Linked DNA regions of Xenopus tropicalis. The protein of the gene in region 1 purifies or fractionates together with the protein of each later gene. This does not show direct contact. Links are inferred from orthologs where the notes say so. Each region holds a gene or a part of one and is shown on either strand. Other genes may lie near its edges.

The links.
Region 2: the proteins of akap13 (region 1) and prkaca purify together in Homo sapiens (affinity purification with mass spectrometry; 3 studies listed by BioGRID and IntAct, with this or other methods). This does not show direct contact. The link is inferred for Xenopus tropicalis from reciprocal best matches to the Homo sapiens genes AKAP13 and PRKACA.

Annotation. Positions count from the first base shown.
Region 1 is NC_030679.2:111,690,857-111,699,408, forward strand, and holds the start of akap13 (A-kinase anchor protein 13), read right to left. Parts: upstream 4,509-8,552; 5' UTR 4,287-4,508; intron 1-4,286. UniProt on the Homo sapiens protein: Scaffold protein that plays an important role in assembling signaling complexes downstream of several types of G protein-coupled receptors.
Region 2 is NC_030679.2:134,185,557-134,193,412, forward strand, and holds part of prkaca (cAMP-dependent protein kinase catalytic subunit alpha), read right to left. Parts: exon of another isoform or gene 7,734-7,856; coding exon of another isoform or gene 7,592-7,733; intron 3,446-7,591; coding exon 3,384-3,445; intron 2,962-3,383; coding exon 2,833-2,961; intron 2,705-2,832; coding exon 2,606-2,704; intron 1,516-2,605; coding exon 1,433-1,515; intron 1-1,432.

The DNA.
Region 1 (8,552 bases):
TTAAAAAGGTACAAATTTTGTAATTTTGTGTGTTTGTGAGTGTGCGTGGTTTTCGCTTGCGTATATTTTAAATTGTGTTGTTTTGTTAAAGCCATGCAAGTAGTGTAATTTTTAATGATGATATGGTCACTAAGGGAACATTTTCATTTAAACCAATAATTTGGGGAAGCAGCATAACTACTGCTGCTCATATAAACAGACATATATTACTTAGAAAAGGAAATACAGTGTGCTTATTTTCATACTTATATATATGTTTGCTTTATTAAGAGCTGAAGGGAAACCATCTAATAATTTCTGAGAAAAAAAGTCAACTTTAAGGTGCATCTGTTACAGGTTTTGCAGTATATTATCATTTTGCCTTGAGCAAAACAAGGCAGAAACAGTGTTAAGTGTTTTTCAGACTGCATGGTTCACATAGAGGCCTTGTTTAGTCTGTGGTGCAGTCCCCAGCAACACATTTCTGGGAAGCAATGAACACTGTATATTACATTAAAATGTGAACCTCTGCATGAGTGCTATAAACCTCATAACAAGGCACTGGAGATATATTCTACACAACTGACCATCTCATATTTATTCTATATGTATTTAGAAGCATGGAACTTGAAATGAAATAGAAACGTCACGTGGGTTCCTGTCTTGGAGATTCTGGGAGTTGCAGTATAAAACCAGCTTTAAAAGGAATACGGTCATGGTAACACATTTTTTTCAAAACACAATAGAGCTTCTCCAGCAGAATCCTGCATTTAAATCTGTTTTTCAAAAACACAAAGAGATTTTTTTAATATTTAACTCTGAAATTTTACATGGGGCTAGCCAATTCTTCATTTCCCAGAGTGCCACAGCCATGTGACCTGTGCTCTGGTAAACTTCAGTCACACTTTCCTGCTGAGCTGCAAGTTGGAGTGATATCATCCCCCTGCCAGCAGAACAATGGGAAGGTAGCTAGGCAGCAGCTCCAAGAAGATATCACAAAAGCATTCAATAGTAAGAAATCCAAGTCCCGCTTGGGACACCTCCAGATACATGGGAGTAGGAGAAACTATAGGTTATCTGAAAGAAGTTCTAATGTGTAGTGCTGGCTCTTTCTGAAAGCTCAGACACAGGCACAATGCATTGAGATGGCGCCTACACACCAATATTACAACTAAAAAAATACATTTGTGGTTCAAGAATAAAATTTTAAATGGCAGAGTGAATTATTTTCTATGTAAACAGTGTCATTTAGAAATAAAAAGTATACCATTGAAATCATGGCAGTATCCCTTTAAGTGCTTTAGTTTGAGCACCACTGTTACAGTTCAAAACAATGCCTTAAGCCCAGAATGACATAAATTAGAAGAGAACAATAGCTGAGAACTGAGTTTTACAATCAGCATAGGATAAACAGCCTAATTCTAAAATTCTAATTCTAGTGGGGGCTTAAAATGTTTAATGCCTTTCTAGCACAAAGAAGGGATACATAGTTAAAAGCAATGGTATAGAAATTCATCCAGCTGGCTACCACCGACATTTAGGGGTGAGAGAGTTTCCCACCCAAAGAGAATGAATCAGTAGTTACCCCACCATGGGCTGTGACAGCCTTACTCTTAATTAACATCGATGGTTCTGGAACAGTTAAACATAAAGAACTTACATTCTAGCTAACTATGCCACTTCTGTAATTTGAAGAATGTAAAGGAAATTACGTCAAAATATTTTAGCGAAAATGATTAAATCCACAGACTATGGAATGTCACTAAAGCAAAAACAATTTGAATTGTTTCTGATATTTTCTGTACAGGGATAAAAGCAATTTCAATTACATAAACTAGCTTTATTTATCTAAAAGGTACATGCTTACTGCTAAAAACTATATGTTGTCATATTATCTATAGAAACAGTGAGGATGACAGTCTCTGGGAAGGAACTATACCTGGCATAGCAGGACCCCTTATCTGGAAACCCATTATTCAAAAAGTTCCGAATCACGGAAAGGTCATCTCCCTTTTTAAAAAATATTTCCTTTTCTCTGTAATAATAAAACAAGACCTTGTACTTGATCTCAACTAAGATATAATTAATCCTTATTAGAGCCAAAACAATCCAGTTGGGATTAATTACTGTTTAAATAATTTTTTCAGTATGGAAAGTCCCCTTATCCGGAAAACCCCAGGTCCTGAGCATTCTGGATAACAGGTCCCATACCTGTATAGTAGGAAGAAAAAAATGCATGTATTGAATCATGAGCTCCCTGATGACAGGACATTTTCTGCCATCTCTTGCTATGCCTATTAATATAAATACTAGGGCCCCACAACGTCTGTCTTGCCCAAGGCAGCAACACATCCAAACACAAAGGAGTGTCTATGGTTATGTGTAATTTGCAGGTGAAATTAAGATAATGGATGAGAAGTAATGCTGCTGCTTATTACCATCAAAAATATTAGCAGTTTGTATGTTGGCACCATCCCTGTATCACGGTATCAGTACAAATACAATAACCCGCAGCAAGACTCATTGACTAGAACATGCGACTGGATCTTATGATTGACCCAATATGTATCAGACACTACCAGCTGTTTTTCATATTTAAAGTTGAATACATCAGACTCACACATTGGTCCACATAATGTCAGTCTGTGCAACCCTCCCCACTCACTATGAGTGAGCCCATCAACAAGTTCTGGGCCTTTTTTTTTTTTACCCAAAGTGACGACAATCCCAGCATTATTCTTGCATTTGAAAGCTCTCCCTTATTCAAAGACAGTCATGTTATATTTATAGCAGAAATCCAATTTAGGAATTATCCGTGCCCCCATAAATAGCAGGATGTGAATACAAATTTCACTTTAAAAAAAAAAAAAAAAAAAAAAAAAAGGGGGGGTACCACCATTAATTAGTAATAAATGTATTTATCCCCTTATCCTATCCAAATTGTAAGCAGATCAATTAGTTCCATGTTCATTTGTGGGGCAATATATCCGTTTATTAAACAGAGAAACTCACAAGTTACAGAAAAGCACAGGTAGGCCAGTAAGTTATGGATATATATTGCGGGTAAGCTGAATACAACAGGACTTAAACCTGCCACTTCTGAGCCATTCAGTATAAGGTCATTGTGGCCAAGACAGCTGAAGGAAAGATGAACGGAATCAGCTGCTGTAAATCCTATTTTCAAGCCGATCTCTCAGGCGCTGTAGTGACAAAAGGACAGATTGACAGCTCAGACTCTGAAGAGGTCTTACTAGAGAATAGCACTACACTATGAAGTGTCCAACCACAGCACTCCCCTAAATATTTGTCCAGTGAGTGGTGCTGGGAGTTGTAGTCCAAAAAACAGAATAGCAGGACAGCTGCTGTATTCATGCAAAGCTAAGGGTTAACATGACATTGCTTAATTGATTTTCTGTAGCAATGGATATTTTGCTTATGCAAGTATGTATCTAATCCTTTTATAAAGGAATTAAGGGACTTTGCGTGAGAGTCTCACCCAAAAAAACACTTCCTTAATGTTTCTGCTGTGATGCACATCCAAAGACTAAATATTTAAGCAAATAGCAGCAGTTTAAAGTACAATTACAATTTCCTGACAGCCAGTCTCTAAAACCCCCTGAGAGTAAAAGCTAGGAGTAGCTGCATAACTATTAGTAAAGGTTGCAGTCTGTAAAAACGTGTATAAAGGGTTTCTTGCTGAGTCAATTACAGCTTAGCGCAAAAGTATGCATTTAGATTGTATGTATGTATAGCTTTATTTATAAAGCGCTACTTATGTACGCAGCGCTGTACAGTAGAATACATTAATACAAACAGGGGGTTAAAGATAATGGATAAATACAAAGTACAACAATAAATACAAATAAATACAAGGTACAGTTGCAATAAGAGTCAGAAACACAAGATGAAGGAGGTCCCTGCCCCGTAGAGCTTACAATCTATATGGGAGGGGTAACAGACACAAATGGGCAAATAGATTGTAATGATGTTGAAATGTCCCTATATAAAAGTGTCTGCACCTTTGTTGACGGTTTATTGCGACTTGAGAGTAAGGGAAATGTAGGTTGTGGGAGACTGGCCCAATCGGCAACCGTAAGGTAAGTTCAGTATTTCTGATTAAAGGAATGAGCACAAATCAGTGCAGCACTGAACTTACCCCCGCCCAACTTACTGCCCCCAGTATAACCCCATATCGCCAACTACTGTCTCCGAGTCACTATTTTCCCACACAACCCCCCCCCCCCCACCCCCGCTCAGACTTGCAAAGGTCCCGCTGCCCCATCCCCCACAACACCGGGGCCCCTTACCTCCTCCTTATCCTACAATTGTGTCCCGGAGGCCGAACATCCCCGGCAAAGTGTCCAGCTTGCACGCCAAAGCCGAGAGATCCCTACAACTGAGCTTCCAGTATCCACAGAGAGAAAGCACACTATGGCACTCACTCGCATACACCACTTGCCTCAATGTATCACTTTCCGCTCACACCGCACTCCAAACTGTAGGAGACTTTACGGCGCATGCGCTCTGCGGACAAGGCTTCTAGTCAATGGACGATGCTTCTTCGGGATTGGCTTAGAGCCACGTCAATCTCTTACTTACTCGCTGGCAGGATGAAGTCAACAGTTAAGGAGAAACTTTTACAAAACTCATCCTGTGCATATACTTACACAGAGTTGCAGAGAAATGACAAGCCATAGAAATAGTTCGATTCCTTTGATATTATAGATTATACGGAAAAATAGCTGCTTCTTCTAATGAACTATTAGTAACTGCGTTTTGCTGCCTGCCATATGCTCCTGGTGTAAATCCTTCGTGCAGAGCATTTGCACGGACATTGCACTCAGACTTAAAGGCAAAGTTTATTACGTGAAGACGTTGATAATCTCAAACACCGTCCAGTGTTTTTTTCTGTACCGTTTTTTATTATACTTTTTGAATACGTTTTGCTTCTCTGTACCTCTGTACCCATAAATGTAGCTTCCGGGTTGCTAGCATAAGGACCCCAGCAAGAAGCACCAACATAACAAAATGTTAAATCATAAAAAAAAACATTATTTTCTTTCAAGGAAAAATATAAGTAGGACTTTTACAGAACACAACCCCATAGGTTATATAGTCAACCAGTTCTGTCAAATCCATATACTACAGCAAAAATGTTGCAGCCAACATTAAAATCCCCAATACCTTGGAAATGGCCCTGAGGTGCAGTAAGTGTGTTAATCATGTTTTCCAAAGATCCCAGGGTTTTAGGCCCCTCCTGTGCTCAGTAAACTAATTCTCTTTTTCAGTTTCTGTTCTTGAGGTTCAAACCCAACTAGGGATAGTGACCACAGTCATCAGTGTCTGCTACTGCACATGCCCCATTTAGTTTACTCTTTACAATTACACTGTTACCAATATATAATTTAGAATATTCACCCAACTGTATATTGTAATAGTAGTCAGTTGTGACAGTTGTTAGGAATAGCATGGGTAGATTTTGTATGAATGGTGTATGAAACTAGAAAAAATAATATATTAATGCAGGAATGTATTTTTACTACTCAGTAAGCAGGGCGCTACCCAGGGGGGGCCTCAGTTATTAGCTCACCAGTCACTTGGGTCCACTAGGCAGTGGGCCCTGCCAACAAGAAGAATGGGGGCCCAGAGGTATTTTGCCCAAGGTTATATTTATGTCAATATGTATAATTGTAATTTACATATGTACATATGTATTCATGGTTATTAGAATTCATAAATAAAAACATAATTAAGCCATAACAAACAAAACATACATTAATTCACACAATCTACAAAACAAACATGCCAAATAACAAATACAAAACAACGTTTACCCAACACCAAATATATTTACAATGATAGTAACTTGTGTGGACAATTTACATCAGGGAATAAAATTCCCAGTGCATAAATGGCCATGTCATCATCATGGCCTATTAAGTATAAGACCTGCCCACTTGTCTTGTGGGGCCCACATCTGTTATGGTGCTCCTTACTACACTAACCCTCCACACCCCCTGATGGTGGTTCTGCCATTAATACATTTAGGGAAAGATTTATCAAAATGTGAGTTTAGAGCTCACACCAGAAAAATTCACCCAATTGATCAAATGGATTTGCCCTTTGTAAAAGCATTGCTATGGAGGTGCATGCAGTAAGGTCTTTTTCCACCAGTCTTCATATACAAGAAACACACAAGGGTACAAACAAGGACTCACCAGTTGCTTCATCTCATTTGCATACTGCTTGTATAAAAAAAGGTTGTACAATCAAAGGTTTTGTTCACACAGCAAAAGGAATAGTACACAAAGGCAGAATTGCTCTTTCAATTAGTTTGACTGGTTAGGTCCTAAACAGGTCATTCCAGGGCATGGAGTAGCCTAAGGCAATCTACTGCTTCTTTGGAGATATTCCTCTATTTATCTCTTTGACTATCATAGCGGAGTTTCATCCCCAAACATGTTAGAATGGTTGCACAGCAAATAAATAACCTCTTTTGTAAGGCAAAGTTGCCACAGCTAGATATTAAGCTGGCCATACACATTCAGATTTTAGTCTTCTTCTGATGAACGTTTACTACTACGATACTACTAAAAATAACAAATTGGAGGATGTTCTGAACATAAAATAATTAGCAGACAACAATCGAACAAAAGTGACATCCCAGAAATGTATTGTAGGTCAGTCAAGGATATTGTCAGATACAGTCATAGATTTTATCATTATCTAACAGAAATTTTCTAACCTGTCCGATCAACTAAACAACTAATCGCCATGGTACAAAAATTATCGGGACGATAATTCGGAGCCCACACACGGTTCGAAAAGCAGAGCAATCTGGTTCAAACCAAAGCAATGAACATAAAAAGGCCATGCAATCTCATATGTATAATAAATACCTCCAGATACCAGAAATGCATTACATTATGTTTTTTATGATTATATTGGTGTGTGTATGGCCAGCTCTGTGGCTCTCTGTGAGCAGATTCACAGTCATGTATGCAATTAGTTCATCACAGCCTATGAGTATACAAAATGGTGCACAAAAGTTCCTGCCCTTAGTGGCCTAATTAGGCATATGCACATCTGTAATGCGACTCCTGCTGCACAGAAAACAATGTGATTTGGATGCAGTTTTTATGCATGAGATTGCATGGCTTTTTAATAGAATGCAATAGAGCCAAATACTTACAGTTAAACAGACTTTGCAACATGAAGTTAGATTTGACTGTTTGTAGTGTCTGCCACTGCTGTCCCACAGTATTGGGGCTCCTGCCTTTTAATCATATATTTTTCTATGTTTGTGTGCATATCCTCCAGGTGCTGCAGTTGTCTCACAAATACTAAAAATACAATCAAATTGGCTAACTGGTTGCTTATGAAGTGACCATAAAGTGTATGAGTGGGTGTCTGTGTAAAGTGGGAAAAGTGTCCAAGCCTAAGTGTTCATTGCTTTGTTTTGTATCAGATTACTTTGCTTTTATGAATATTGTTTTATGTTTCTTTTCTTATTGCTCATTATTACTGCTCTGTTTTGTTAACACTGTTTAGTTTTATGCTCTGGTGGTGGCGGGGAATTTCCAAGGTAGCCTGTGTTGAGAGAAGCAGGATACAGAAGAAGGTAGGGGTGGTGCTGGGAGCCAGTTTGCCTTGAAGCTAAAGTATTAGGCACAGAAGTCTTACCATAGGTATAAGGGACTCCCAAGTATATTTTCAATAACAGGACATTTCCATCATGCCTCAAAGCATACCGATTGGCAGGTTTTACCAGTTAGCAGCACAACTCAGCAGCATCATCATCTTCTGAACAGAGCTTCATTTTAATAACATGTACACATGTGTGAGTGTGTGTGTGAGAGTGAGAGACAGAGAATTTCAAGTCATTTTCCTGTTATGATGAGGACATCCAAGAACAGCAGCTGCATGCTTTTTCTGTACATTACCAATAGCCACAGCAGAACTTTGTGGCAGAGGCATGCCAACCATTTGCAAAATCACAAGCCCAACACCAACCCACTGCTAAAAACCACAGACTAAGCCATTCAGCTGTATACACCCCTCCCCTATTCCAAACCAGCCACAAACCATCTGGTCCTTTTTACAGAGGATATATATTCCTGTTGGCTCTGAGCAACCGCCACATAATGCCAACAGCTTATTAAGATACATAAAAAAAAGTATTTGACATTTTAATATGCCAGAACCAAATTATTTTGTGAAATACTATTTACTAGTCATTAAAATAAATTGAAAAGATCACAAATATTAATTAAAGTTTAGCACACCTGTGTAGAAAGGCCGCTCTGTAGATGGTAAAAACATTGGAATTATTTGAACTTAGCAATAGCTGAATTTTTGTTATGGTTAATAGTCTAATTATGTAAGTTTAGTTTTGGTAATTGCTGGAGGAGCATTACAAATCCAGAGGAAGCAGAATATTTGCATGAACTTTGTAAAAAGACATACCACATCCTGCTGCTTTCTTACACAAAGGGTCTATCGGATCTATTTCCTGAACAGAGCAGACTTTTAAGATAGTCCAGAATTAACCCCATTTATTCTATACCAGTTTT
Region 2 (7,856 bases), about 22 Mb from region 1:
AAAGTCCATCTCCGGTAACATCCGGGTGTTAGAACCGGCACAGAGAGAAGGTAGAACATTAGTTGGAGAGGAATAGAAGCCGTATCTGAACATCATGATGTAAACCTATAGGGGGACGTGACGGGACAGTGGCAAAGGAGTTTGTACGGCTCTATGGCACCACTGGGATCCTGGGTTTCTCTCATTTAGCGCTGGCAGTAAGGCCACCCCCTGAACCATAGACTCTTCTGTGCTGACACTTGGTACCTTAGTGTTGGCACAGCGGACTGTATGATCTACTGCATAATCTGTTTATATGTTCACTCTCAGTTTCCTCTCAAAAACTTAAAAGGTAGGTCAATTGGACTGAGGGTTGTGATTCACGAACAATGAGACAGGTTCTACCCCTGCACCCCCCAAGGGAAACACTCTGAAGGGCAAACAGGGTGAGATTTAGGGGTGAATTGCTTACTTCCTGAATTACAACATGGCTAGAGACTGTCACCCTGCTTTAGTCCCAGGGATTTATAATATATCAGGTTATGAGATAAACAGCCGGTCTGCCCCAAGTTTGGCCCATAAAGTGTTTGTGAGCACATCAGAGGGAACATATATGGCAGGGACAGTCCGTATAAAGGTAATGGGCACTAAAGGAAAACTATACCCCCAAACAATGAAGGTCTCTATAAAAATATATTGTATAAACAGCTCATATGTAAAAACCTGCTTCATCTAAATAAACCATTTTCATAAAAATATACTTTTTAAGGAGTATTAGCCACTGGGTAATCCTAAATAGGAAACTGCCATTTAAAGTACTAAGGGCCCCCCCTGGGATCATAGGATTCACAGTGCACACAAACAAGCCAAGGCACACATACATGCTAGGCCCCATCAGCCAATGAATGGACAGAGTTCTGCCTTTTGCTCCCACACTACTTCCTGTTACAGTTAGAGCTGCATTATTTCCTGTCAGCTGATCTCTAAGGGAGCACACAGCCCATCACTAAATGGCGGCTCAAGGGAAAGGGTGTAAAAAGGCAATTTTTACCGATATATATGTATTCCAGTTTGACGATTTTTTAATAGGCTACTTAACATGATATAAACAATTTGTTGGTTAAGTATTCATTCTGGGGGTATAGTTTTCCTTTCAGGGGTACAAGTTTAAGGTTTCTTGGCTATAAACACATCTATGAGAGACCAGTCTGTAACCAGAAGGTGTTTGGGACAGAGAAACATACCATAAAGCCCAAATACTTGAATATTAATAAGGAGCATTGGTGTTTGCAGAGAGCAGGCTGCAGTTCTGTACATAAGGAGCCATTATTCTGAAGTTATTGATAACTATCCTAACCCTGATAGTGGCTATCACCTTGTGACCACTCTCAAGCATTCAGGGCCCAATGGGCGCATACTGGTAAGGGCATTAGCAGTCTTGGCCTATGCTTACCTGAAGCGCCCGATTCTGCGCAAATGAGAGAACATCTCCCCACCGGCGACATACTCCATGACCATATACAGATTGCTGTTATCCTGGAGGGAGGAGAAGAAAAGACATTAGGAAAGGTGAGGCAATAGCACATCCAGGGCAGAAGAGACATGGGTGGGGGGAGAGAATAAGTCCTAGAGTGCATTACGCTGTCACTGCACAATACAGACCAGCAGCCTTATTGTATTTCTAAACTTCTCCCAGCATCCCCAGCTAGCTGTTCCTAAGGATGCTGGGTATCGCGGGGCCAGTTTTAGGATAGTGCAGAGAGGGAGTTGTATCAAAAGGGAAGGAGATGGAGTAAATAAAGTGACAACATATTATATACAACTTGTTAGATATTCTCAGAGTATACATATGGGATGTCATACGGATAGCTGCTGGCACAAAATGGAAGATGTTGGCCATGCCTTATTTATATATGGGGGTGCCAGTCTTTCTGCACTTCCAGGAGCAATGCCAGCCCTCAGTTGTTGTATAGCATGGGATCAGTTATCCATAAACCCTTTATCCAGCAAGTTCAGAATTACTGGAAGGCCATCTCCCATAGAATTATTTGCTTATAATGGAGTCTAATTTTAAAAAATGATGCCCTTTTCTCTGTACCTTATACTTGATCCCAACTAAGATATAATGAATCCTTATTGGGGGCAGAACAGCCCTATTGGGTTTATTTAATGGTTAAATGATTCCCTTTTCTCTGTAATAATAAAACAGTACCTGTACTTGATCCCAACTAAGATATAATTACCCCTTATTGGGGGCAGAACAGCCCTATTGGGTTAATTTAATGGTTAAATGATTCCCTTTTCTCTGTAATAATAAAACAGTACCTGTACTTGATCCCAACTAAGATATAATTACCCCTTATTGGGGGCAGAACAGTCCTATTGGGTTTATTTAATGTCTAAATGACTTTTTAGTAAATTTAAGGTATGACAGAAAGATCCCTTATCCGGAAGCCCCCAGGTCCCGAGCATTCTGGATAACAGGTCCCATACCTGTAGTCTAAAGACCCGAAAGGTTTGAATCCTTTATAAACTCCCCACCTATTCCCTTTTAGCCCACCAAGTCATTGTACATCCTGCAATGCCAGCCCCACCCACCTTCCCCTACTGTTACTCCCCACTGTACCTTAAAGGAATACTCCAGCCGCACGAGGAATGGGAAATTCACAGCCTGCAGTATCCGCTTCTCATTCAAAGTGTGCTCGATCTGCTTCAACTTCACCACCTGGTGGGGCAAACGGAATGAGTAACTGGAAATTACTGATTGGGATTCCCCCTACAAACCTATAGTGGGGTACACCTCTAAACAAAGGACCCCTGCACACATGGAAACAGAAAATATTTATGCCATACCTTCTGCTTGTCCAAGATCTTCATAGCAAAGTGACTGCCATTTTCTTTGTGCCTGACCAGCATTACTCGCCCGAATGACCCAGTGCCAAGAGTTTTAATGCGCTCAAACTGTTCCAGGTGAGCTGTGTTCTGCAAGAGAGGTACAGGGGGAGAAGTGATACTGCTGCACCAACAAACAGACTGAGGCAGGTTTAGCATGAAATATAAACAGATCTTTTCCTTTGGACCCTACAGAGTGACTGTGGGAAGATAGGAATGATTACATTTCAGACTGACTACCAGTGGTAGAAGGCCAGGCAGCAGGGGCCTTTAGAAAGCTTACCTTGCAGTTCTTTTGCACAGCTTCTTGGCAGTTTTATGAAGCAATATGCTGTGCAACACAATCAGTTCCTGTAGGAAACCCTGCACATACTCTTAGCAATCAATAAAGAGTTAAATATACATATCTACTGTTTTTAAGCGCACACCTGATTGGTTGCCAAAGGTTACAAGACCTTGATAAACTTGGTTCATTACCACCCAACAACCCCAGCCAAATAAGGGTTTGTTACCTGTGCTGGATTTTCCCATTTTTTCAGAAAATCTTCTTTTGCTTTTGCCAGAAATTCTTTCACTGTAGAAAGAGCACAAAAGGATGAATGGGTTAATGAGGAAACAAATGGAGGTAACCAAGGAGAAAATGCACACTGGAGGCAGTATGAATGGAGGGATAAATGAAGGGCACAGAAAGTTATAGATCAACAGCACTGGCTCACGTGTGAGCAGCCAATGATAAGCGCTGGTACAGGGTTTATACTGCCTAGCCAACCACTCGCCTTAATGGATTCCAACTCCCAACGATCCCTGCCAGAGGCTCATGGGGGGGGCTATAAGTACAGTGCAGTGTTGCCAAACTGGCCCTGCTCTCCCACAATGCATTGTACTCACACATGAGGAAATCAGGGGTTATGGCTCGGCTACTGTATGTGTAGGGCCCAGCATGGCTACTAGTGGCACCAATAGCTATTCTTACAGAGCCCAGCATTGCTACTAGTGGCACAAATAGCTATTCTTACAGAGCCCAGCATGGCTACTAGTGGCACCAATAGCTATTCTTACAGAGCCCAGCATGGCTACTAGTGGCCCCAAAAGCTATTCTTACAGAGCCCAGCATGGCTACTAGTGGCCCCAATAGCTATTCTTACAGAGCCCAGCATGACTGACAGGCTGAGGAAGTGACCAATCCCTATGGCATTTCTTGGCTTTGAGCAAGGTGTGGGTTATACATTGAGGGCAGCGCTGGAGCACCTGGTGCACGGCTGCTTATCATTCCTTCAGTAAATAGCAATGGAATGCTCCGGGGCTGAATATGACAGGAAACCTGTGCAGAAGGCAGGGAGTTGCTCTGGAGTCGGAATGAGGAAGCTACAACTCCCAGCGTGCAGAGACGCACACAGACTGCTAGGAACGAGACAGCACAGACTGTTAGGAACGAGACAGCTCACTACTGAGACAGGCCCCAACTCACACTCACAGATATTCAACTTGTGCCCCATGGAGTAAAACAATGCAAACATTTAAGTACCATAGTGCAGACAGGCTAATTAAAGCAAATGCAGCGGTGGGATCTATTATCCAGAGACCTATTACTGAGCTCTGAAATACAGACACTTAGCAGCAGCCATTACTGCTCATAGCTGGCGCCACGACAGACGGGAGAAAGAGGAAGAACTAAATGCCACCACAGACAGACAGCTTATAGCCGGCTTAGTTATAAGGAGACTGCTACGGGCTGAGTTTATGTGACAGCCATACAGACAGTGTAAGGAAACAGACAGTCCCTAGTGCTACCAATCTAAGGAAAGAGACAGCAGAGTTGGGAGGCTACAGCAGAGAGAGATACGGAACTAGAGGAAGGAAAGAGGCAGCAGCCTTATCTGTCTCTATTTTGGGGCATTCCTCTATTCTGTGCAGCACACATATGGGCCAGGCTGGCTAGCAATTGTTGCCACCAACCGTCACTGCTAGTCAAAGTGACCACACTTGGGGGGAGCCCAATTTGCCTTTACCATCTCTTCTATAAGGGGCTCTATACAAAAAAACCCCAAAAAACTGCAGAGTCAGCAACTTCAAATGGGGGGTCACTACTGCTCTGTGAGGCTAAAATTGTATTGTTATTGTTACTTTTTATTACTTATGCTTCAATTCTGTCCCCCATACCTTCCATATTCCTGTTTCGCATTCAAACCACTGTCTGGTTGCTAGGGTAATTTGGACCTTAGCAACTAGATAGCTGCTACAATTCCAAACTGGAAAGTTTCAGAACAAATAGCTTATTCCAAAACCAATAAAAAAAAAATTGCAAACTGCTTTAAAACAGCACTCTCTACATAATACTAAAAGTTAAGTTACAGTTAAAGGGCTTGTTCACGTTTAACGTATGCTAGATGGAACTTTACAATGGGTTCCTTGGTTGCTGGGGTCAGTGATGGTCAGTCTGGTCTTACAGAGTGAGCCGTCAGCTTATTGGGCCGACAGATCTAGCTAAAACTCAGTGGCCCTTTCCAAAGCCAGCTATGATGGCTGTGCCCATCTAGGGCCACACAATGATGCAAAATGTAAGCTTTGTGAGCAATAGGCTACACTGAATCTGCTGCTGAATAAGATGGTTCTTACATGCATTTGTGGTAAAGTGTAATGCTGTGATAAGCCTACACAGGAAGGGGCCGCGAGCTGCACTGTGCAGATATACATAACAGCACATCTCATACAGAGGGGTATTAGTCTGCTCCCTACCGTATTATAGGCCACTTTCAGCTTTCTGTGTCATACACAGTTCCATTCTATAATCAGAGTCCCTTCCCAGAGGCTATTATCCCCCCACTGCTACTATAGGCACCATCTCTCCCTACTATACCTGCTATCCCACAGCCACAATCCCTTCCCAGAGGCTATTATCCCCCCACTGCTACTATAGGCACCATCTCTCCCTACTATACCTGCTATCCCACAGCCCCAGTCCCTTCCCAGAGGCTATTATCCCCCCACTGCTACTATAGGCACCATCTCTCCCTACTATACCTGCTATCCCACAGCCCCAGTCCCTTTCCAGAGGCTATTATCCCCCCACTGCTACTATAGGCACCATCTCTCCCTACTATACCTGCTATCCCACAGCCCCAGTCCCTTCCCAGAGGCTATTATCCCCCCACTGCTACTATAGGCACCATCTCTACCTACTATACCTGCTATCCCACAGCCCCAGTCCCTTCCCAGAGGCTATTATCCCCCCACTGCTACTATAGGCACCATCTCTCCCTACTATACCTGCTATCCCACAGTCACAGTCCCTTCCCAGAGGCTATTATCCCCCCACTGCTACTATAGGCACCATCTCTCCCAACTATACCTGCTATCCCACAGCCCCAGTCCCTTCCCAGAGGCTATTATCCCCCCACTGCTACTATAGGCACCATCTCTCCCTACTATACCTGCTATCCCACAGCCCCAGTGCCTTCCCAGAGGCTATTATCCCCCCACTGCTACTATAGGCACCATCTCTCCCTACTATACCTGCTATCCCACAGCCACAGTCCCTTCCCAGAGGCTATTATCCCCCCACTGCTACTATAGGCACCATCTCTCCCTACTATACCTGCTATTCCACAGCCCCAGTCCCTTCCCAGAGGCTATTATCCCCCCACTGCTACTATAGGCACCATCTCTCCCTACTATACCTGCTATCCCACAGCCCCAGTCCCTTCCCAGAGGCTATTATCCCCCCACTGCTACTATAGGCACCATCTCTCCCTACTATACCTGCTATCCCACAGTCACAGTCCCTTCCCAGAGGCTATTATCCCCCCACTGCTACTATAGGCACCATCTCTCCCTACTATACCTGCTATCCCACAGCCCCAGTGCCTTCCCAGAGGCTATTATCCCCCACTGCTACTATAGGCACCATCTCTCCCTACTATACCTGCTATCCCAAAGCCACAGTCCCTTCCCAGAGGCTATTATCCCCCCACTGCTACTATAGGCACCATGTCTCCCTACTATAACTGCTACTATACCCATACTCCTCCTGCATACTCCTCTCTTTGGGGCCCCACTATGCAAAATGTCTCTTTTTAGAACACCATAAAGGCAGCTCTGTCTGCAGAGCATCAACAGAACAGAAAGTTATTTACAGGGGCTCTTAACTGTGCATGAAGAGGGTGTGATAAGGTAGGCACGCAGAGCATTGCAAAACGCGCAGTTTGCCAAAGTCATGAAAGCAGAATATAACTGGGAACATCTCTCCATCACATTAATATTGAGGGACACACAATATATGCCATTGCTGGGTATATAGGGGGTAGCCTACTTATCAGGGCATTATCACAGTTCAACTATAGTATATTACCACAGGTCAAACTAATAAGCAATATGCACTATACAATTTAATACAGTTAGTATTACACTTCTGCCATAAAGTATCTTTAAAAAAAAAAAAAAAGCTTTAGTAGCTTGAGAAGCCCCACATGCCCCAGCAGACCCCATCACTAACCTATTAAGCAATAACCAAGTTACTTTCAGTGAGTTCTGCTCAGATCTGTTCGGATCAGTGCCCCAGGACCCACAGAAGTTTCCACAGTCATTTCAAACACTCCAGTATTTTCTCTCCATACAGAACAGCCCCCTCCCCACCCCAAGTGCACTGTATTTACCCTAAATATTCCCAATTCAAATACGAAGCATCATACCCAACACCCTGCAGCGAAATGTGCACACTCACTCTCCCGTTCCCAGCTCAGTACGTTGCATGGCAGGCAGGGTGCCTGGGGGCCAGCGCTGGCAGGGGGCACCGGGGCAGGACCTCGAGGCCCACGGCTGAATACCCGGGAGGCCAAATTCTCCAGCTTCTGTAAGGCTGACATCCTTGGGCCAAAAATGAGCAAAGATGGAGGAGAATGTTTGGACCAACCCCAACTATGGGTAGAAGTCTGGCATTTGGGGGGGCAGGAGGAGGAGAAGTGTTAGAGGAAAGGTGGGGAAAGCTG